Linked DNA regions of Saccharomyces cerevisiae S288C. The protein of the gene in region 1 interacts with the protein of each later gene in a pairwise test. Each region holds a gene or a part of one and is shown on either strand. Other genes may lie near its edges. The genes, in order: UBP7 and MYO3.

The links.
Region 2: the proteins of UBP7 (region 1) and MYO3 interact in binary tests that used the Saccharomyces cerevisiae proteins (3 or more experiments, as listed by UniProt).

The regions. Positions count from the first base shown.
Region 1 is NC_001141.2:34,920-51,806, reverse strand, and holds UBP7 (ubiquitin-specific protease UBP7), read right to left. Parts: upstream 3,717-16,887; coding exon 501-3,716; downstream 1-500. Other genes in the region: GUT2 (glycerol-3-phosphate dehydrogenase), read left to right, coding at 1-48; ATG44 (mitofissin), read right to left, coding at 3,834-4,046, 4,109-4,117; COA1 (Coa1p), read left to right, coding at 4,265-4,858; AIM20 (Aim20p), read right to left, coding at 4,992-5,606; formin BNR1, read right to left, coding at 5,855-9,982; POT1 (acetyl-CoA C-acyltransferase), read left to right, coding at 10,363-11,616; SMU2 (Smu2p), read right to left, coding at 11,667-12,374; beta-fructofuranosidase SUC2, read right to left, coding at 12,824-14,422; YIL163C (uncharacterized protein), read left to right, coding at 14,555-14,908. UniProt on the Saccharomyces cerevisiae protein: Involved in the sorting of ubiquitinated cargo proteins at the multivesicular body (MVB).
Region 2 is NC_001143.9:195,104-201,825, forward strand, and holds MYO3 (myosin 3), read right to left. Parts: upstream 5,065-6,722; coding exon 1,246-5,064; downstream 1-1,245. Other genes in the region: SHE2 (She2p), read right to left, coding at 185-925; PMU1 (putative phosphomutase), read right to left, coding at 5,781-6,668. UniProt on the Saccharomyces cerevisiae protein: One of two redundant type-I myosins implicated in the organization of the actin cytoskeleton. Required for proper actin cytoskeleton polarization and for the internalization step in endocytosis.

The DNA.
Region 1 (16,887 bases):
TGGGAACTTGAAAAAACTGTGAACTTCATCAAGACGTTTGGTGTCTAAATCGATCATGATAGTTAAGGGTGACAAAGATAACATTCACAAGAGTAATAATAATGGTAATGATGATAATAATAATAATGATAGTAATAACAATAATAATAATGGTGGTAATGGCAATGAAATCGCTATTATTACCTATTTTCCTTAATGGAAGAGTTAAAGTAAACTAAAAAAACTACAAAAATATATGAAGAAAAAAAAAAAAAGAGGTAATAGACTCTACTACTACAATTGATCTTCAAATTATGACCTTCCTAGTGTTTATATTCTATTTCCAATACATAATATAATCTATATAATCATTGTGTAGACTTCCGTTTTAATATCGTTTTAATTATCCCCTTTATCTCTAGTTTTATCATAAAATATAGAAACACTAAATAATATTCTTCAACGTCCTGGTGCATACGCAATACATATTTATGGTGCAAAAAAAAAAATGCAAAATTTTGCTAGTCATAAACCCTTTCATAAAACAATACGTAGACATCGCTACTTGAAATTTTCAAGTTTTTATCAGATCCATGTTTCCTATCTGCCTTGACAACCTCATCGTCGAAATAGTACCATTTAGAACGCCCAATATTCACATTGTGTTCAAGGTCTTTATTCACCAGTGACGTGTAATGGCCACTGATTAATGTGCCTGTATGGTTAACCACTCCAAATAGCTTATATTTCATAGTGTCATTGTTTTTCAATATAATGTTTAGTATCAATGGATATGTTACGACGGTGTTATTTTTCTTGGTCAAATCGTAATAAAATCTCGATAAATGGATGACTAAGATTTTTGGTAAAGTTACAAAATTTATCGTTTTCACTGTTGTCAATTTTTTGTTCTTGTAATCACTCGAGTTGTTACTATCATTACCACCAGTACTGAACGGTGTACTGGAACTGGACCTCTTCCCACTACCACCCAACATCCTGAAGGGTGATCTGGACCTTTCTCGTTCAAAGATTGTCGTATTATTATTATTGCTATTATGGCCCTCAGTAATACCGTCTCCAAAAAAGTCGAGATGACGACGCTTGGTTCCTGTATGTAATGTAAAAAACCGACTTTTTTTCTTTTTACTCTTAACAATGGATGGCTCATTCTCTAATGCAGACACAGATGTAGACACAGACGCCGTGGGGCCACAGCGTGGGCAATCCCATGCATTTTCACCAGAGAGTACCTCATCGCTTGTAAACATATTAATACAATCCTCTAACTTAACTCTTTTCTCAGTAGACCTACCAAGTTTACTCAACTTCATGGAACGTCTTGGTATAGCCAGTGATAAAACATAAAATGTGCTATAGTTGAAAGTAGTGTAACCGCACCTTTTACATTGTAAGCTGTTCTCCATTTGCCCTTGAAAAATGTCATCAATAGGAGATATACCATTACCAATGACATTTTTGTCAAACCAGTGCTTATATTCGTTGTTTGAAACCTTTAGGGCATCTGCATTATACAATAATAAATTCGGATAATCGTTCGCTACATGCTGTTGGTCGGAAAGTTCATCGTGTAACCTGTCTAAAAGTATCATTAGGAACTCTTGGGTATCCTGTTGGTCATCAGGAATTTTCAAATCGGGACGCAATTGATTGATAACTTTGAGAAATCCTGTTGGGACAACTGAGCAACCACCATTTAGATACATCTTGTTGAAGAGCATACTTAGTGAATTCGAAAGTTTAGGAGAATAATGAGATCCGTTGCTCCTTATTGGTTGCAGATAGCTCTTATATTTGGATGAAATGAAGAGTGTCCGGAATGTTTTCGCAGCGAATAGACATTGTATCATACTATTAATGTAACATGTATTGCCCAAATTTCTTAGTCCCGTGATGGACAACGAAACGTATACGTTTGGACTGCGTTCAATAGTTGGAATATTGTACGCCCTTTGCGGTTGTAATATTTGTTGGTCGTAATGCTGATGCTGGTGCTGTCTTTTTCTTTGAATAATTTCATTGGAGTTAAGTTGTTCCTTTTTGACATGCTGCTTTGCTGGTATTGGCGGCTTTCGAGAGATAGAACTGACTTGTGAATGAACCATTATCTTAGGGGGCAGAGGAGGTGGAATTTCTGGGGTTGTGGGCATTGATACAGGCGGTGGAGGTGGAGGACGTTTCCTTAACCTTATAGGCAGGTCAGGGGGCTTCCAGGAGGGAGGCTCAGGAACTTTTGTAGATGATTCCTTAGCGGAAAAAGAGTCCTGAGAATCCGGCTGCTGCTGCTGCTGCTGCTGCTCCTGTTGTAAGCGCGCCTTCTGTGAGTAAGGTCTGTACAAGTAATCTTCAATAGAGATATGATACTCCTGGGCATACGAATGCAGAGTTTTCTTCCATTTTTCGTACCCACCTAAGAGGGTAGTAGGTACAGTTGTTAAAGGAGTCTTCTGAGAAGTCAGCATCAAATAAAAAAAAATAAATGCATAATCAAAATTTATAGTCATGAAGGTCTTCACATCAGTATAGTAAACAATGTAATCAAATTTATTACGGTTTATAAAATTCTCATTCTCCTTCAGTAAATGTTCCAATATGTCATCCTTGTAGATAGGTGTGTTCGTCTGCTTGTCCCACAACAAGTTTGGATCCACATTCACTAAGTTCGGAGCCACAATGTGATTTATTGCAGATCTTTGTGGTATTCTCAAGTCGATGAGTAAAACCTTTTCACGTTCAACGCGATTCGATAAAATACTAAACAATTCTGGTGCTGTGATTATACTCTGCTTTTGTAAAATATCCAAACTCTGGATGAAGCCATCATTCTCAACGTTGAACAGATCATCATTGTCTTCCTTGAGGTTGCCGCTATCCACCATATAAACAGAATGGTAAGAATCCTTTCGATGAGTTACTGATCTATCTGCGGTTATTTCTCGAAATGGTGGGTTCAAAGATGCGAAACTAGTGTCATCCTCGTGGTATATGGAGGGTACATCTTCCAATAAAACAGATGGTCTCACTGGAACACTTGTCTTTCTTTCAGGCTCACGAAAAGCTGGCGTTGGTATCACTTCGGGCAATAAAGCCAGTTTCAATTGGTCGTTGGGCTCTAAGTTTGGTGCTGTCCAAACAGGTGAAGATTGTTCTGCGTCGTCTTCAGTAAACGTGCCTTTGAGGCCATGATCTTGCGGTGCCGCGGTGTCAAGTGATAGTGAAGCTACCTGACCTGAAAGATCGTCAGCTGGAACTGAAAATGCCCTCTTCTTGGTGATTCTGTGCTCAATACCGGCCCCGTGTTTAACCGATTCATCTAGGACCACACCGATTTCTTTCTTCACCATAAGCACAACATTGGTCATGTTCATTTCATTCTCATACATCTTTTTTAGATCTGTATAGATGCTGTAGGACTTGTTTCGTGTTTGGAACTGCAAAGATTGTGGAATAATTAAGAACACGTAGTAGCATCCAATGATAAACGCTGTCAGTGCATCGTTGGGCCTATCGTGATGGATTGAATCTAGATATAACTCGAATAGGTACTCTGTATGCTCCAGAAGGTCCAGCAGCTTCTCCAGTTTTAGCTGCGGATAGTAGTGCTTGATATCTTCGTGGTACAGGTCCTGGACCCTTCGCAGTAATTCATTTGAGTACTCAGGCGTGAACGGCGTTATATGTGGATGCATGGCCGTGCCCTTATCATCGTCTAGCATTTAAAGTTCTATGCGTAATCGATAGCGATAGCTCTTTAAGTTGCGGTTATTAATTTTGGCCCCCGGCTGGGTGCCGTTATACAAAATATTATCAACATATATAGAATATAAACGTACCTATTTCCTAGCGAAATACGTCGAGGAGCCACAAGTGGCAACAGAATAGTCGTATACAGACTCTCCCAAGTTCAAGTACCGCTTCATGTAGTTTCTCATAGTCTGATTGTCCAGAGTCTCCAGTTTAGGCGTCAAACCTGTATTGCGTTTAATCCCCGCGAGGCACGTTGATACCAAGACCAAATCTATGGATATGTGTACTAGTTTCCCTACCTAACCAATTTCTCTTGTTAGTATTACCGGATGCGTTGTTAGTAGCTCATTTGGGTACTTACTAATGTCATCTCTTTGCGTTTTGCTTGTTCTTGTTTTGATCATTGTGGAGAGAAAGAAAGCGCCTTCTTGTCATTTTAATCCCAGTTTTAAAACAGTTCGATCTTTCTCTCCGTACCAGTCCACGACATAAAAGTAAAAGATAAAACAGACTATACATGATGTTAAGACTAGTAACTAAAGGGTTGCCGAAAGTGACACCTTCTGCAGCTAAGGCTGTGCTAGTGCGTGGTTCCTTGCTGCACTCATTCTCTACCAGCGCTAGATTCAATAATAGTGTCGCTGAAGATGAGGCCAAGATCGTTTTGAAAGACAAGAACAGGCCATTGAGAATTGACAGAGAATTGCCTGACCCAACCACGGAGAGGAGAAAGCGAATAGCTGGATTTTTGTTGTTTTCTGTGGCCATTGGGTCCGCACTATCTTTGATCTTCAACTATGAAAAGACGGAGTCCCCCATTATCTCCAACACGCTGTATTATATAAGACGGTCTCCAGCAACTAAAAACATACTGGGTGAGAGCATAGAATTTGATGGTATCATCCCTTGGGTCTACGGTGAACTGAACTCTGTGAAGGGTAGGATTAACATTACGTTTTATATCAAGGGGGACAAAAACGTTACTGGAACCGTTAGACTGGTTGCCGATAGGAACACTCACGACGAAGAGTTTTTGATTCATGAATGGAGCGTCACTGCCGCTGGCCAAAAGATCGATTTGCTAGCTGAAAATACCAAGACACCAATTTAATAGCAAGTATGGTGCTATTTGTCTGTAAATATCCTTTATTATTATTTTATTTTTATCGTTATTACAAGTGGTCTGGGTATCTATACAAATGCAAAACTATGTAGGTACGTTTATATATCTATATGCATATATATTAGTGTGGCCGTAAGCTGTCAATAAATTCTCTCTTGTTGACAGTATAATTCGTAAAATCGTTTTCATATGGGTCATCCAGTTTTATTTCTTCGTGTAACGCAGTATTTTCTGTGCTCGATGACAAGTTTGACGTAGAAGCTGATCTCAAACTACTCGTTTCTTTGCGCGATAGCGTCAGTGGATACATAAAACTATAGGAAGGATCTCTGACCATCCCATAATTCACCTTTTCGCCGCTGAAAATGACGGGGACATTGGTATATGCAGTGCTCTGCTTTTTTGGACGCAAAGTCCCCATACTAGCGTTCAATTGCCTTCTGTATGCTGGTGTGTACCCTGCCTTGGCGGTTTTTTCTTGGCAGGGTTTAAGATCCTGGTTTGCTTCCTTTTCGTTTATCGTGGAAGCTTCACTTGAGCTGTTAATTTCGGCTTTAAAACCATCATATACCGACACTGCCACTTCTTCCATTACCATCTTCTCCAAATCAGCATCTCTAATCTCTTCTTTTTTGTAACGTCGTTGTAATTTACACCAAAATATCAGGGCTATTATTACGCCCACAGCAATTGGAATCCCAACTGCCGTTCCCACTGCCACAGACACATTGCCCATCTTTATTCAATAGTCTGTTTTGATGATTGAAAAGTAGATTGTTTTGAGCTAAAAATTCGATGCTTTCTGTGCTTATTTTGAAATTTATTAATGAATCTGTCCATCTCCAAATCTTAGTTCTTAACTAGGAAATTTGTCAACACGACCACCGCCCGAAAAGGGAAAATATTTCCCTTTTGAGAAGCGATTGCGAATATTGTCCATTTCTTTATATAAGCTCCACAACTACATAAAATACTAAGTCTTCACTATATATTTTGAATATCGTTCAGCATAGCATGCGTTCTCTCTAGTAAAACGTGATCTTCATCCTTTCTCGTTTTTACATCTCCTTCATGTACGTTAATGGCTATTTCATTGAGTTTTGTACTCTTTCTTCTTCTTAGAGGTTCTGGATCCTTCTTTACTTCGCGTAATTTAGATATGAGTAGATCAACAGCATCCCTGTTTACTTTTTCACCATCGTTTTCATCACTTCCATTGCTTTTCTTATTACTGCTTGTCCTCATATCTAACAAGCTCTTCCTTTGTTCGTACACTCTTTCCATTTCCTCCTTTTCAATGTTTTCCTTGGCACATTTCTTAAACATGGCTAAAAATTCAATAAAGGGTTGGAAAAATTCGTTTTTACTCTCTTTATCTTTGGGATCTTCACCGTAATATTTCATCAGTTTATTCAAATCTATTAAAGTTAATTTACATTGACCAATCAATAATTCACTTTTTGTTTTGGCCCGATTAATCTTAAACTTGACCTTTTTAATAATTTGATCTCTGGGGTCTAAGTTCTCCTCTTTGGATAGCTTTCCTACTTGAAACTGAGTAACTAAATCCTCAATTTTTTTATGAAATTCATGACACTCTGATTCAACGTGTTCTAGTGAGATTTTACCTAAATCTTCAATGTTCTTCAAATCATCCACAAAACCGTATATATCAGGATATTTTATTCTTATGACTTTTTCAATAAAATGCAAAAATGATACATTTTGATCAATACTGGATCTGACAAAGGCAAGTTTAGTCAATGACTTCAATTTGATACCCTTAACAATTCTTTTATTCATATGATTGCCTATTTCCGTGATAATAAACATCAAACTTTTAAATTTAGGTGAACGATTTAAGTGTGAAATTGCATCATCAATTTTTTGTAACTTGAAAATCAAATCGTAATAATCTCTCTCGTATGTTGACAATGTCAGCAGACTCTTTGATCTTGCATTCCAATAAAATCTTAAATTGATACACAACTCCAAAAATATTCTGTCAGCTCTTTGTAAGTCACTTACTGCTTTACCATCCTTACCCTGTGAATATGGCTCGTACTTATTAAGCATACTTTTTGGTATATTTACTAACTCTTCTTTACAAAAAAATTTCAGTATGTTAACATTTTGGACAATGTCGTTATCACAGTTCAATACTTTCATAACAAATTCCATATCAGATAATTGGGAAAACATGTGTAAATTAATACCAAATTGCTGAGCCAAATCTCTTGATAAGAATGAAATTTTCTTCAGCTCATTGGAAGACTTGCCATTGTTTGAAGACAAGGCAATTGAGGATTCTGCGTTCCTTTTATTTGCAATCTTAGTCGGACTTTTCATCTTAAAAATATCTTCAATCTGAGAGAATATACCATCAGTTTGTAATTCTTTGATTGTTTCTTGGCGTTGAAACGTGTCTTCCCAAAGTGTGTCTTTGATATCCTCCACCTTATCCCAGTGGATTTGCTTCAATCGCTTTTCAGTTGGAGGTGGTTTTAAATCGGTTGTCGTTGGATTGATAGACACTGAGGAGGAAGAAAGAAGACCATTTGGTAAAGGTGGAGCTGGAGGAGTAACTAAATCGTGATTGGAGGGGCCTTTGTTCATCGACAAGGACTCGGGTAAAGGCGGTGGCGGTGGTGGTGGTGGAACGGCGCCACAAGTTTTAGTTTTAAATAGATCTGGAAGGGGTGGCGGTGCAGGTGCTGCAATACAGGAAACACCATCCGGTTTAGCTTCTGCTTCAGTCAAAAGAGACTGTGGAAGTGGAGGAGGGGGAGGTGGAGGAGGGGGCGGTGGAAGTTGAGGTAGTTTAACAACTTCAGGTACTAGTTGGATTCCATTATCAAGACTATCTGAGGAAAGTCGAGGGAAAAGTTTTGGTGAAGAAGAAACCGAAGACAACACGGGAGACGATTGGTAATTAGGTTGTGTTCCTAGGCTATTTGAAAATTCCAACTCTGAAAGTATCGAATTTAGAGAGACATTTTGCATATTAGTAATATTTTTCATAGAAGGGATATTAAAATTAATGGTTGACGTAGATCTTTGAAATAATGAGTCTTTTGATTTATCTTCGGATTCATTTTGGGACTCATTTTCGTTATTTGCATCAGTTAAATATGATGAAAGGGACGTAACTCTTTTACTTTTTAGTAGACTAGTTGAACGCTTGGGCAGAGAAATTTTTTGCTGCTGCTGTTGCTTTTTTGCTAAATTTTGGAAAATGATATTTCCATGACTATTATTTTTTATTATCGAGCCGGCAATACTCAAGTTGCTACTTGCCAATGAAGGTGGCTGGTCATATAACCTTTGATGCGTGGTAATTTGGTCTAGTCTTTTCTTGGTTGCCTTCAACTGCAGTTTCAGATTTTCAATTTCCTTGGTTTTCAGAGATATCAAAGATTCACTTTCATCTAGTTTTGCTATTAAATGATCTTTATCATGATTTTCTACTAAATTTAATTTTTCATTCAAATGAGAAATCTTAGCATTAAGATCATCAATTTCTGTGACCGCTCTTCTAGCAATTTCATCAGATTGTAGAGAATCCAACAATTTATTAACAGAATCTTGAAAAACATAATCCACATTTTCTGCGGACTCCAAGGTTTCATCAAAAGAAGGATTCGTTGACACTTGAAAGGAATCTATGAGATAAAACAGCAAAGAATTTATCAATTTTAATAGTTTAATAGATTCTGAGTATGGTTTTTGAGAGTCTAAGATTTTCCACAGCGATTGAATAATCTCGTTTATTGGTGCCTCTACGGGACTATCTTTTGCCTTCAATAACAGGCAATTTTCAAGACATAGAGGCTCGCTTTCTATTCTTGCGATATCTTTTGTTGGGTGAAGCGAATTCGTATCGTTGGTAGTTTTTATCATCGAGTCAAATATCGCAGATTCTTTGGATTTGAATTGTTTTATTTGTTCCATGATCACGACACTATTAGGATCATCTTTATAGGCCAGTTCTAAAAATGTGATAGTGTTATGTATATTATTCTTTTTCAAAAAATTCAAAATTTCTAGTGCAGTCTTGTTGTTGAAACCTTGCAGTATGGAGTTTATTAGCAGTAGGAAAGTTGTCGAATAGTCTATTTTTAATTGGTTCCAGTTCAAATAAAGGGATGAATGAATTGCAATATCATCCGCAAGGATTTTGTCAAACCATTCTAGCCAATCGGTGAATAATATGGAAAGCTGGTCCCATATCAACTCACAACCCGTGGAACCCTCAACATACGTTAATAATAAAAGTAACTCCATAGAAAGTAACTGACATTTCAAATTAGAATTTTGATCCGTCAGAAGCTCGGTGAACCAGCGAATTAAAGGCTCAGAATGTAGTGCTCTTATTCTCGCCAGTGGGTTGTTCATCAGTATTTTAAAGCACCGAAGATAAACAAATTGTAATTCCTTGGATATGAGTGGCAAAGTCTTTTCGATCAATGTCGTCAAGTAAATTTCATCCTTGAGAAAAAGTTGCAAAAAGCTTTGCTTTCGCAGGAATTTTTCTAGTTTATATAGAGCCTTCGATAACTTCATGCCACCTGTTGAAAGGTTTCTAACTAGGCCATCCAAAAAGTGTGCGTTTTCAGCTAGTTCATTAGTGGCCAAATGTGTAGAGTATGTCGTGCTCGAAGTCACTTTCTTTTTCCCCCAATGATTGGAACTACGGATTTTACATATCAATAACCATTTCCTTCGTAGAGAGATGTTTTGTAAATTCTTATAAGCAGCCCCCCAAAAAAAAGTTCCATCTTTTAAAAGCTCATCAAACATTCTTTCGACGAGTGATGCGTCCTGAGGCATGCACTTCGGATTAAAATCCATTTCCGATCCGTTCACTTCTTCGGAAACCATTGGTGACGAAGAAACGTCATTAGCTGAGAAATTCTTCTGTTTCATGTATATATGTGATCCTGTACCTTGTTTCTCTAACGCTACACCGACCAACTGCAAGCCAGCGGCAACCAGCCCATCGTTCAAATTCAATTCTTCCAATTTACGGGCTTCGCTGACCCTATCACGCGCGTGAAGTGACAGCGATCTGCGAGGGTAGCGGTACGTCTTCTTGTTCGGGGAAGAGTCCATCGCTGATGATTGTGCTATTTTTTTATCTGCTTTTGTGTCACGATCATCATCACTATGTAATCTTCAAAAGATCAAGAATTTGCTAGTTTTGAACCTATGCCACAAATAGCGAAAAAAGAAAAAAAACTTGACGCGTCAACATGAGGAGGGTAATGATGTGGTAGCGCCGTGTAAGGCGCTATCAAAGGGAAACGGGGATAATAGTATTAACACCGCAGCTTTTTTTTCCTTTCTCCCTCTATTGGTTTCAAATTTATTGGAGTTTTACTAGAAAGAAGAGATATAAATAGGGTATACTTTTGCATCTCAGTTCTATTGAAATCGAATGGTTATTTCTTGTGGCTCTGAGTACAGAGTGAATATAACACTACATAAAAGCAATGTCTCAAAGACTACAAAGTATCAAGGATCATTTGGTGGAGAGCGCCATGGGTAAGGGTGAATCGAAGAGGAAGAACTCGTTGCTGGAGAAAAGACCCGAAGATGTAGTTATTGTGGCTGCTAACAGGTCTGCCATCGGTAAAGGTTTTAAAGGTGCCTTCAAAGATGTAAACACAGACTACTTATTATACAACTTTCTCAATGAGTTCATCGGGAGGTTTCCGGAACCTTTGAGGGCTGATTTGAACTTAATCGAAGAAGTTGCCTGTGGAAATGTTCTCAATGTTGGAGCCGGTGCTACAGAACACAGGGCTGCATGCTTGGCAAGTGGGATTCCCTACTCGACGCCATTTGTCGCTTTAAACAGACAATGTTCTTCAGGTTTAACGGCGGTGAACGATATTGCCAACAAGATTAAGGTTGGGCAAATTGATATTGGTTTGGCGCTGGGAGTGGAATCAATGACCAATAACTACAAAAACGTCAATCCCTTGGGCATGATCTCCTCTGAAGAGCTGCAAAAAAACCGAGAAGCGAAGAAATGTCTAATACCAATGGGCATTACTAATGAGAATGTTGCCGCTAATTTCAAGATCAGTAGAAAGGATCAAGACGAGTTCGCTGCGAATTCATATCAAAAAGCTTACAAGGCGAAAAATGAGGGGCTTTTCGAAGATGAAATTTTACCTATAAAATTACCAGATGGCTCAATTTGCCAGTCGGACGAAGGGCCACGCCCTAACGTCACTGCGGAGTCGCTTTCAAGCATCAGGCCTGCCTTTATCAAAGACAGAGGAACCACAACTGCGGGCAATGCATCCCAGGTCTCCGATGGTGTGGCAGGTGTCTTGTTAGCCCGCAGGTCCGTAGCCAACCAGTTAAATCTGCCTGTGCTAGGTCGCTACATCGATTTTCAAACAGTGGGGGTTCCCCCTGAAATCATGGGTGTGGGCCCTGCATACGCCATACCAAAAGTCCTGGAAGCTACTGGCTTGCAAGTCCAAGATATCGATATTTTTGAAATAAATGAAGCATTCGCGGCCCAAGCATTATACTGCATCCATAAACTGGGCATCGATTTGAATAAAGTAAATCCAAGAGGTGGTGCAATCGCGTTAGGCCATCCCTTGGGTTGTACTGGCGCAAGGCAAGTAGCTACCATACTAAGAGAACTGAAAAAGGATCAAATCGGGGTTGTTAGTATGTGTATCGGTACTGGTATGGGTGCCGCCGCCATCTTTATTAAAGAATAGTTTTAATACTTGATAATAGTTAATATTCTCCCTTTTTATTATGCTCATATTTATATGGTTTTGTAAAAGCTATTACGTAGTTTATCAATTTGTTTATAATTTTCCATTTTCAATATTTCTAACTCACTAACCAAATAGTTTATTTGAGATAATATCCTCCAGTCCTCCTTAACCAATTGACGGGCTTTCCAGTTGAAATTCGCTATCACGGTGTCCATGTAAGAGGAAACTTCTTCATTACTTTTCATCGTTAGTTTTATTGGGGCCTTTGGATAATCCAAAGGTATGTTGAATAAAATTTTCAAAGAAATCTTACCGGAGTCTGTCATGGGGGAGATTCGATAGCCATATGAGGTAACGTGCTTACCCTTTTTAAACAGTTTAAAATCGGATAAGGTGTGAATGCATTGTTCGATTTCTTCTTGCCTTTTTGCGATTTGTTTTCGCTCTTCTACATTAATTTCCTTTGAGTAGTGTAGGGTATTCTTTTTATTAGCTCCATTATTGTTTTTCCGCCTTCTGTTTTTCGCTTGAGATTTCTCGACTCTCACTTCTTCCCCTCCAGTCACAGGTTTAGGTTCATTTTGTTCCTTTGTCTCTGTCTTCTTATTTCTGTTTCGATTTTTATTCCGCTTTTTATTTCCATTTTTAGCTTTATTTGTGCTCTCCTCATTCCCGATTGGAGTTCCTTCGTTTCCCAAACCAGAAGCTTTTCCCTGAGATTTTTTAGCTCCTGTTACAGATAGCTTGGTATCCATTTCCCTCACTACTTCTTTTTGAGAACACTTTTACGTAGAAGACAACGCTTTTTTTTTTTACAATATGGTATACTTCTACTTAATGCTTTTAAATTTTCACATAACTAATACTTTACCCGGTTTCATTGTGTCAGTAACAAAACAGATAAAGGCAAAAAGGTCCATCCTAGTAGTGTAAGGCAACTACATTACGATTGTGGGTTTATTACGTGAAAAAATGATGTCTATTGCAAAGTAGTAAAAATTTTTAAGAGAATTATACTTATATAAAGTACATAAAGAACAAATTCCAGGTAACTGGGGTCGGGAGAAAATAAAAATAAAAATACATTTTCAATGGTTTGGAGGTATTCTTTGAAATCATAAAGTTTTACATTCGTCACTCGTTAGCTAAAGCCCTTTAGAATGGCTTTTGAAAAAAATAAAAAAGACAATAAGTTTTATAACCTCTATTTTACTTCCCTTACTTGGAACTTGTCAATGTAGAACAAATTATCGACACCAGTGGTCATGTTCACAGATCCTAGAGCGTTACCGGTGGTCATGAAGTAGGTATTTGTAGAAACCACATCTCCATCGTTGAAGTACAATTCCAAGATGTTTTGATCCAGTAGGCCGTACACTTTATAGTAACTTAGGTCGTTCTCAGACTTGAATGGTTGGTTGTTGACAGACATTCTGTTTGTGAAATATGGGTTCTCCTTGACAAACTTGACCTTAGAGTTACCACGGTCCAAAAAGAAGGAAGAAGCACTGACTTCAAAACCCATTCTCAAATATTCTTCAGGATCTTCTAAACCCTTGAACCAAAGTGATAAGTCGGCAAAGACGGATTTGGATATGGTTTGTGTGGTGTTAACAGCGTAAACCAACTCAAACTCTAGGGTACCAGTCGAGTTGCTCAAATCGACATTGTAAGAATTGGCCTTAGTTAGAGTTGTGTTAGTAGCAAAACGAGACCAGGGACCAGCATTACTAATGTTCAATATTGGTTCGGCTTTCAAATTGATCAATTCAGTCTCTGGATTAGCTTGATATTCAGTGTTCAAAGAAAACTTGCGGACCAAAGACATGGATGATCTCCATGGGTTAGTTGGGACAAAGGCACTGTACTCCCAGTTTGAAGCCCAGGCAATACCTAATGCTGAACCGTAGGTTGGGTCAGTGTTGAAGAAAGTTTGCAAGGCATAGTAGTCCTTACCAAAATCTACCACTCTAGATTGATTGTCAAACGCTTCAAAATGAGTACCATTGAAGGATCCAACAAAATATTGGTTGAAGGAACCGCCAGCAGGTGCACCTGGGTTGATAGAAATAAACATGACCCAATAAGATTTGGAAGGATCTTGCTCAGTTGGGACTTCAATCAAACCTGGACATTCGTATTGGTAGCCTAAGAAACCTTCATTGGCAAATGCAGATTCTAGCTTCCAGGACTTCAAGTCATCAGAGGAGTAAATTTCAATTTTGTAGTCTTGTGATTTGGCAGCCGTCATAATCCATTTTTGAGAAGGTTCATACCAGAACACCTTTGGATCTCTGAATTGAGTGGAGTTGGCAGCTAAAACAGGGTTCTTTTGGTATTCAGTAAAAGTGTAACCACCATCAAGAGAATAGCTAATGTATTGCTCTTCACTTTCAGGAGTGTTATAAGTCCAAATCGCAACGCATCTTTGTCTTGGATCAATAGTATCATTGAAAAACCCACTCGTGTTGTTGTAATCAACCACCATGGAGCCAGAGAAAGCACCTGAATCGTTACGCTTGGGAGCGATAGCAATGGGTTGATCTTCCCAATTAGTCAAATCATCGGAAGTAGCATGGCCCCAAAACAATGGCGTACCCCATACGGTGTCATTTGGGTTGTATTGAAAGTACAGATGCCATTTGGCATCTTTTTCATCGTACCACAACCCATTTGGGTCATTCATCCAGCCCTTGTTGGGTGTGAAGTGGACCAAAGGTCTATCGCTAGTTTCGTTTGTCATTGATGCAGATATTTTGGCTGCAAAACCAGCCAAAAGGAAAAGGAAAGCTTGCAAAAGCATCATATACGTTAGTGAAAAGAAAAGCTTTTTGTTTTGCTTGTTTCTCTGAGAGAAAAAAAAAAGTAAGATATATGGTAAAAAAAAAGCACAAGAACAAGAGAATGTTTTGAAGAATAATACATATCTATTTATATGTTTCTTTTCAGGAGGAAGGATTATAGGATCGAAATCCAAAAAAAAAAAGTCGTCAAATCTTTCTTCCAAATGGTTTACTATAGAGCCCTTAGGCAACATTTTTGTCAAACAAAGTCGTTTAAGCATTCCTCGAAAAGAAACGTCTCTATGATGGTAATAGGCAAACATCGGGCGTACCTTAAAAGTCTTAGACATCACATAAAGGGATTTATAATCACATTCCTCGTCAGTTTTTCCAGAAACCTCCATGGAAAAACCCTGGACGTGGGGTCGATTAACGCTACGCGTATTTCTTCGCCCCCGGATAATTTCCTAAACTGGGTTTTTTCTTTTTATTCCTGTTCAGAGTAATAAAAATGCGGGGAATAATGGAAGCCCTCATAATGGATCGAGTTCAACAAAGGCACGCCTTTGGTAGAAGAATACTGTGGGCCTTTCTAACGTAGCATACCGACTGGTAATTTGCTCACAAACTATTCTAAATGACGTACTTTTTTGAGCTTTGCTGGGGGAGCGAGAACTACGCTAGGACAACAACTCCCATACGGTAAATGTCTTAGTATGTCGTGCTTGTACAAACGAAACATGATAAAATGGATACCTTCGACAGCTCACCGTGCCCCTGTCCTTTGTTCATTGGGAAACCTCCTGCCGTAATTCTACATACTATACTCGATACCCGAGATTGTGACGTGTGGATGCTAAGCCCCTATAACCTCAAACTTTTTAGCTTGGAAAGGCACTTAACTCAATTATAGGTTGTTGCGAATTCTGAATTTTTACAGCTACTTCTGTAGGGAATTCAGACCTCCGTACGGTATCTCCCTGTTTACTACAGGGGAAAACTTAGTTTTTTTTTTACTATAGTATATGCAAGGCCCTGAAGCTCCATGATATTTCGTAGATTATTCGGCTTCCTATTCAAGGCAATGTCTAGCCGTTTAATGTGCGACGGCATTAGCAAAGCTTCTTCAGTTAATAACTTTTCTACGTTCTTTAGCGCATTAATAGACTGATCGTCTATTACCATCGTGGAAATGAGGTATAGCACCTAAGAATACAGCGAAGGAGGTCTAACTGCTTCCCAGAAGTCACAGGAAAATAAACTTTTTTTTTTTATTTTCCGCTTTTTTCATAAACTTCTTTCACACTTTCCGCTTTTCCATACTTGGTAAATGCACATAATGCTATTGTAATATACAACCATGATTTCACTTCCCCTGGCGCAACAGTATGTTGTTAGCTATGATACAAAAATTTTTTAAGGCCATTTGAAAGCATCAATTTCTCAGAACACACTTCATCTACTGCAAAAGAAGACTTTCGAAGAAAAGTACAAATTGCGACGAACTACTTTCATAGTAACAAAATGAACAGTGACATTGAAAAGCAGAGAATGTTGAACATAGGCTAATTTTACGTTCTCACAGCCTGGCTAGCACCTAGAAACGACGCATGCTGCCATGTTAGTAGTCAAACAAAATTGAAGTGAGGCTCAAAATAGTTTGAATGAACACAACAAAACATTGGATAAGCTGTCATGCTACATTAGCAATACAAAAACCCGCACCCCGTAGTCACGTTCGCCTTCGCAGCTTTTTAAAAATGGCAAAGAGTCTGACTTATGCTCTGTTGACATTTAAGAGATACAATGAATCGATCCAACAATTATTAGCCATCAGTACTTCTCTTTTGTGAGGTAGGGCGACAAGAAAACGCACAAACTAGAGAAGATATTTATGCATTTTTCGGTATATCAGATAAAAGTTGGTAGTGCTCGAGCTTTTCTTTCTATACCAATAAATGCTGCAAAATATTATAATCTAATTAGTACTGAAGTAACTCTAGCAAAGCACAGGTGACAAAATTTGTGCTGGTGATTGTTGGTACTGCTATCGCCAGAATAGTCGAGATGTTTGCATGTATCGACTGCTATGCGCGTAAGAAATTGGAATTTTGTATGGATAACTATGGCCGACCACTGCACCTAGCAACAGTGAAGAACTCGTTTATCGAGAGACGAGTGTCGAGATAACAGATATGACAATTAGATTATGTAGCCGAAACCATATATTAGAGCCAGTAGTTGTTTGATCATAGCTTGATTTTCATTAATTATCAGTCCTCTTCCGTGTAGTGCCTTTTTTCTTCTGCAAGCGAACTTTTTACAGATGGAAGTTCGATAACAGAGGAAAAAGGCGAAAGGTGGTTACTTGAAACATGGTGTATCTTAAAAACCGCTCGAAATTATAGAGGTGAAATTACAAGTTACTTGCGGTTCGATAAGCAAACGCATTTACGCTTATACTTTGGAGCCACATTTCACTATG
Region 2 (6,722 bases), on another chromosome or scaffold:
CAAAAAGTGAGAAAAAAACAGCGCGGTTTGAGATGCTGAAAATGAGTACGCCAGAATAAGAGCCGATCATCAGTGTTTTGAAAGCTTACTTTCTGTGCTATGTGATGAGGCTATTCATGTATATATATATGTTCTATTAACTAGTGGTACTTATTTGCTCTTTTTGAGCTAAAAACTGAAGGCCTCAGTTTTTCAATTTACCAAATTTGTCATGCCATTTAGTAGCGACAACATCAAATTCTTCGTCCAAGGCGCTCAGCTTACCATCTAAAATGGAGTGCCACGCAGCTGACAAGGTCTGAAATTCTTCTTCGGAGTTGACAGGAAGAATCTCCTGCAAGAAGATATTATCAGTTTCTCCGATATTCGTTCCGTCCTCATCTGCGCATTTAATGGCAAATTGAACAACTTCTAAATCTAGCAGGTTGCTGCCTATACGCAAAGACTCAATCATCCATTGAGAAAATTTCACGAAATGATTGTAGGTATCGTCAATGGCTAATATGGACTCTGCTGTTAGCGTTAGGTCCTCGTTCAAAGTTTTAGATAAAATTTCCTTTTGTAATGACTGCGTTAGATAATAGTTCAGTAAGTCAAACGTTTCAACACATTTAACAAACATTGAAGCTATTGGTAAAATTACCTTGTCAAACGAATCCGCCTCTGGGTCTAATTCGTTTTTACCTTCATTGATAAACTCTGATGCATTATAGCTTAACACACAATCGTTGTAAAATCTCAATTTCTTAACAAATTTAATCAAAGTAGTTCTCTCGAATCGTAGCGTAGCTACCCTTCGCAAATGACTGATGAACTTGTTCAGCACGTGAATATAAGATGAGAGATACCGGGAGAGTAAGGCGAGTATTTGTTCAACTAATTCACAAGTTCCAGGAGTGACTTTGATATCTTTGTCTTTGCTCATTTTTAAGTGTCTGGTATTATGCAAAAGGAAAATTAAGGAGGGTTTACTGTGCTTTCTCTTTTTTTGAGAAAAATGTCTTGAGTAAAGTGAGGATTTTACTGTCAAATCTTTAAAGCTTGTTTTGAACGATGTCCTGCATTAAAGTGGGAGTTTTTCAAAACGGGAAAATACAAACAAAAAATGAAAAAAAAAAAAAAAAAGGGACTTTAACTTTCTGCGAGAGTATGTTTAAAAGTATATGTAATGCACTTTTGGTATGTTAAGAGGCATGCACGAAGAACCATTCTATAAGAGACTAAACATCTATATATTCATGTTAATTACCAGTCATCATCATCATCGCCATCGTCATTATCATCATCGTCAGCACTTTCCGCCCGCATTTTGTTTGCTCTTGCTGCCAATGCAGAAGCTAAACCGTCGCTAAACGTCCCCACCGGATTACTCTGATTATCACTAGTGGGTCCAACTGTTGCACTTCCAAACTGTACACCTTCTTGTGCACTTGAAATGGTATTGTCGATTTGGCTTGATTTCTGATTTGTAACGTCATTCACTGCCCCTGTCGCTGCAACAGGCACCGTATTTCTTGTGTCTTTATAAGGAGTCATATAAGCAGTAGGAACCCAACCTTCTTTGCTTCCATCGAGAAGCTTTGCTAAAGACCAACCACTAGGTTCATCTCTGCTTATAAATACAATATCGCCCTTTTTTAATGGCAACTCCGAAGATGATCCGGAACCTGGAAAGTCGTATGCAGCTTCGAATTTCGGATCCTTTGGTTGGCCCATGGGGGGAGGGGGTGGTGGTATTGGTATGTTTGCAGTTGCAGTTGCAGTTGTCTCCTTTAACGGTTCTTTATTTTTTTCAACCCCTTTTGAAGGTGGCATCGATACCTGGTTTTGCTTGGCGGATGAGGATTTGTGGCTTGAGGAGGCTTTCTTTACTGCGACTTTTTCCTTCGATGAGGGTTTTGAGCTGTGTTTCGAGCTTACTTTTGCAGCAGGGATTGCAGATGACTTTATTGGTACGGTCTTATCCGGTTTAGGATTGTATGCTGCCTGTGCAGCGGTAGCTGCCAAAGATAACGGATTCACAGGTTTTTGCGAAGGGAGAGGTTGCTTTTTTGCAGCATCCCTATGACTTCTATGGCTATGTGTATGCTTATGAGTAGATTTGTGTTTACTCTTTTTGCTTTTGATAGGTTTCCCGCTCAACCCACCTGGATTCTTAGGTTTTTTATTCGATTTGGAGTTAGCAGGGTGTCCACGACGCACGTATATTGTACTTGACTTGTAGATGTCACCGTATTTCGGTGCTGAATCGCTTATCTTTGAGCGGACAGTGTGCAACTTGTTTGGTTGTTTGTGATACTCAATCGTGGGACCAACTTTTATCATTATCTTTTCATTTAATTTTTTCAAACGTGTCATTAATTCCGTCTTGAAAGGCGTGTTAATGAGTGGATCGGATTGTGTACTATTAACAAGGATAACGCCCATCCAATCGTCTTGGAGGTTTGTTAAGCTCACTTGTTTAATTTTACCGACATCAATTTTATAATCTTGTGTATATTTCATAGCATTCTGTTCCCGTGTTTGTCCAATAATATAAAATGTCTTTTTTGTTAAGATAAACACTTTTTTCAATCTTTGAGCTGATCTGCCAAATTTAGAGTGCAGGCATTCCCCCTTTATCGAAAAAACAACTTTATCCTTAATTCCTACCTGTCTTCTGATGTACGATCCTTTCGTTTTAGACTCATTGCAGGATAAGTAATCACCCATAAAAGCCCTGTATCCAAGTAAAGACATGGATCTTCTCTCTTTTTTACCCGCTAAAAGTTTGGTTCCATAATCACGAAGCTTGACGTACTTGTTTCCACCCTTTTTCTCTCTGATAGTACGCTGAATTTTTATCGCAGCATCAATACGCCTTTGAAGAAACCTTCTCCATGCTCTCTGGATTCTAGCAGCCATGTTGTACCAGTATTTATCACGCATGTCTTCTAGAGCAAATAGAGATTCTGGAGTTTTAATGAATACGCTTGTCACTCCAAGTTGAAATTCTTTTTCTGGTATCATGGCATCTCTTAAAATAAGCTTGACTGCCTCAAGGGTGTCCCCATCCCAAGTGTAATCACCAGCATATGAACAATCTGGAGATAGTAAATAAAATCTTTCGACGAATTTTTCGAAAGTTTGTCTGTAAGCGAAACCGGCTCTCCTGATACGAACATTTTCTTGCAAACCCAAATATTTTACTTGATGTAGCACTTGGTGATCATCATAATCATTTGGTGATTTAGTTTGATTAGGCTTGATTGTTCTGATATAGGAAGGCTCAGCTTTTGACAAAGTTTCCACCAGTTCATTTGCACTTTTAATAATTTTGTCACCTGCTGTTGGAGGCCGTCTCTTTGAATCTTTGTCAACATCATCAGGAAAAATTGTGGAAAGGAATGTATTTGTCGTTGTTCCAATTAATTCAATTAGGTCCTTTTGAAGTTGGTCTTTATTTTTATCGGTGATACCATTGATGTCATAGGTGACATCTCCAGCGTAATGTTTAATAACAAATTTGTTGGCCCTTAATTCGAAGTATGGATTTGAATTAAATAAGTTAAGTCGTTGAGCAAACGCCTGGTCAGCGGCATTGGAGTCTGCATGAGCAGTTGCAATAGAGTCATTCATTGCAGCAAGAATGCCCGGTGGATTTTTCGCCTCGATTAAATCACAGACAACTTTATTGTCAAAGTATTTGATGGGGGTCCATTTGATTTTTTCTCTTTCATAAGTTTCTTGCTCAGCCTTCAAAGTCAATTGGATAAAAATCTGTTGTAACTTTTCATTAACATAATTGATACATATTTGCTCAAAAGAGTTGTGTTCAAAAATTTCGAAGCCGTAAATGTCTAGAATCCCAATTGATTTATCAGCACCAGGAAATGCCTGCAAAGATACGTTAACCCTATCGACAATCCAGTCGAATAAATTATTATAAATTGCCTTAGCAAGGGCGTCTCTCACCGCAGTTGCTTGGACTGGGTTCAAAGGTACATGATAAACTGAGCCTCTCTTCATTCCATGACTGGTTTGCATGATTCTTTCCACTAAACATTTTACCAGTAACGAAGCATCAACCTGCAACAAATAAGCGACAAAATCAGTCACTGAGGTATCTCCTACCTGAGCATTGCCCTCTTCATTTTCTATAAAGGAAATGTTACCAATCCACAGAATTGCCGCCAGCATCCTAAAAATTTGGTCTTGTTCTTCCTGGACTAAACCAATGGTTCTCATAGCCTCTAACGTGCCTTCGTAATCTTTTACGTCATCAATTGTATCTGCAGTAGTACAGCCAGCCGCAGCAGTGTAAATATATTGCTCAGGCATTTGCACACCGAACATCTGTTTATATGTATCAGATGCTCCCTTAGTGAATTGGTAAAAAATATGAAAGTTTCTTTCGTTCTTAATTTGACCAACAACTCTTTGTTTCTCTAGCAAATAATTTGTGATATTACCTGCGCAAGGTTCAAATTGTGAGTTGAATTTAATTTCTAGATACTTCCCGTGCCTTGAAGAATTGTTGTTCCGCAGAGTTTTAGCACAACCGAATGACTCGAGAAGTGGATTAGTAGCAAGAACCATATCTTTGATCTTCCCAATCGATTCTGAATGGCTATTAGATGCAGCTGCAATATATTGCATAATACGTTTGGCTGCTTCTGTCTTACCGGCACCAGACTCACCAGAAATAATAACACACTGATTTTCATTGTATGATTTGAGATTGTAGTACATAGATTCCGCAATAGCAAACACGTGTGGTGGAACTTCAAGTCTATTTTTTCCTTTATATGACTCTAAAACGGCATTTGTATATATTCCCAAATCGCGGAACGGATTTACACTAATTAACACATGGCCAATATAGGTATAAATAATTCCATTCTTAAATCTTTTTTTCAAATTTTCATTGATAGATTCATCAGATATTTTTGACAAAAGTGTCAAATCAGAAATACCTACTTCTTTCTTTTTATTTGCATCAAATGTAGCCTTTTTGATTTTTGCAGATCTCTTCTTGGGCTCCTTAACGTCCTTTCTGCGTGCTCCCTTTTTTATGACAGCCATTGACGGTTATAAGTATTTCTCTTTACTTTTTTTGATTCAAATGTGATCAGCAAATTAATGTTTTATAACTGGATTGTTGTTAATTTGCTCGCGGTCAATTGAATCGAGATTGCTTTAACCCTTTATAATAGATTACTCTATATTTACTTGTCACAGCAAACGGTTTCCTTTTTCGGTAAAGCTCTTCCCGAGGTTTATTATATAAATGCAAATCGATCAGTTTACCTTTAGTTAGAAAAGCGATGGAGCTAGCATCTTGCTACTATATAATAGTTGTTCAAGATCGTAGGTCTGCCTGCCGAGTGATTAGGGGAGGCTACTGAAGTTTGTTTTAATGTACCGGTTACATTTTCTTGTACGAAAGTATATGAAGGGGGCTTATTACTTCCAAGCCTATATTTTCTGTGGCATCGATTAGTATAGTATAAAAGAGGGAGTGGACATAGCGGTGAAAACTATACAAGAATAAAAAAGGAACTAAGAACCCTTTGCATTCATATAATTTCACATATGCATTTTTTATTTTATACTCAAATGTATGTTCTCACCTAGCTTGAGAAAGCGATGATCAAAGTGAAAGGTTCAACCATTTCTCAAAGTGCTTAACACATTATTTGAAAAGAAAGGGTTTTATTCCATCCACTCTATTATATCTATAAAAAATTATTTAAATTACCCACATATTTGAAAGTCCCGAATGGGCGCTGTGGGAAAATTCAGAGCCTGCCGCGATCGGCCGTGTTGACTGGTACTTCCACGACGACAGCGACGACTTTACCTGTGTCCAGGTTATAAATTGGAGGATGCTGTAAGTTTCTCAAGACACTTTGAATGACACCTGAGTGACAAGTAAGCGAGATGAATTTTTCTTCGCTTGACAATTGATTAAATAGTTCAAATAATCCATTCAGTGTACGTTTGTCCATTTCAGCACACGTTTCTCTATGATCAGGAAGCCACAATTCATCATCTTCTGGGTAATCTGGTACATATTGCCAATGTACAGTGTGGCCCGATTCCGTGCTGAAATCCTGGTATTCGTCAACTGCCATTGAGTGAGCCACTCTTTTGTCACAAGTGTGAGAGCCCAACGTCTCCCTTAGACCTTCTATAATGCGTGTAGAAATTTTAGTTCCGGCCGGTAATTCTTGCGTCTCCGCTAACACTGGTGTCCACGACTCAATGAATGTTTCGAGACATCTTCTCATTGGAGAACTGAAAAACACATGAGGTAGCATACCTAATTGCTTTGCCATTGGTAGCAAGACATTCGATCCTGTTCTTCTAACTTGATCTTTACCCAGAGGTGTCAGTTTAGAGTCAAGCCACTCTCCATGTTCATCGCCCGAAAGCAACGACCAATAGGCGTCCCATTTCTCCATACCGTACCTCAGTATGGCAGCATTGTGGTAACCTTGACCATGCCTAGCTAAAATCAACAGCTTATAGTGGCGATTTTTGGTATTTCTAGGGATAGCATGATACAGTTCCTTCCAATTCTTATGGTTAATCAATTCTAAGTGATCATATTTCGTGGAGTCTAATCCTTGAAAACCCTCACTTGGATATGCAGCAAAATATCCTGGGACTGCTCTGAGTGACATTGTTGAATAACTGTTGGTGATTTCACGCAGCAGAGTCTTGGAAAGAAATCGTTA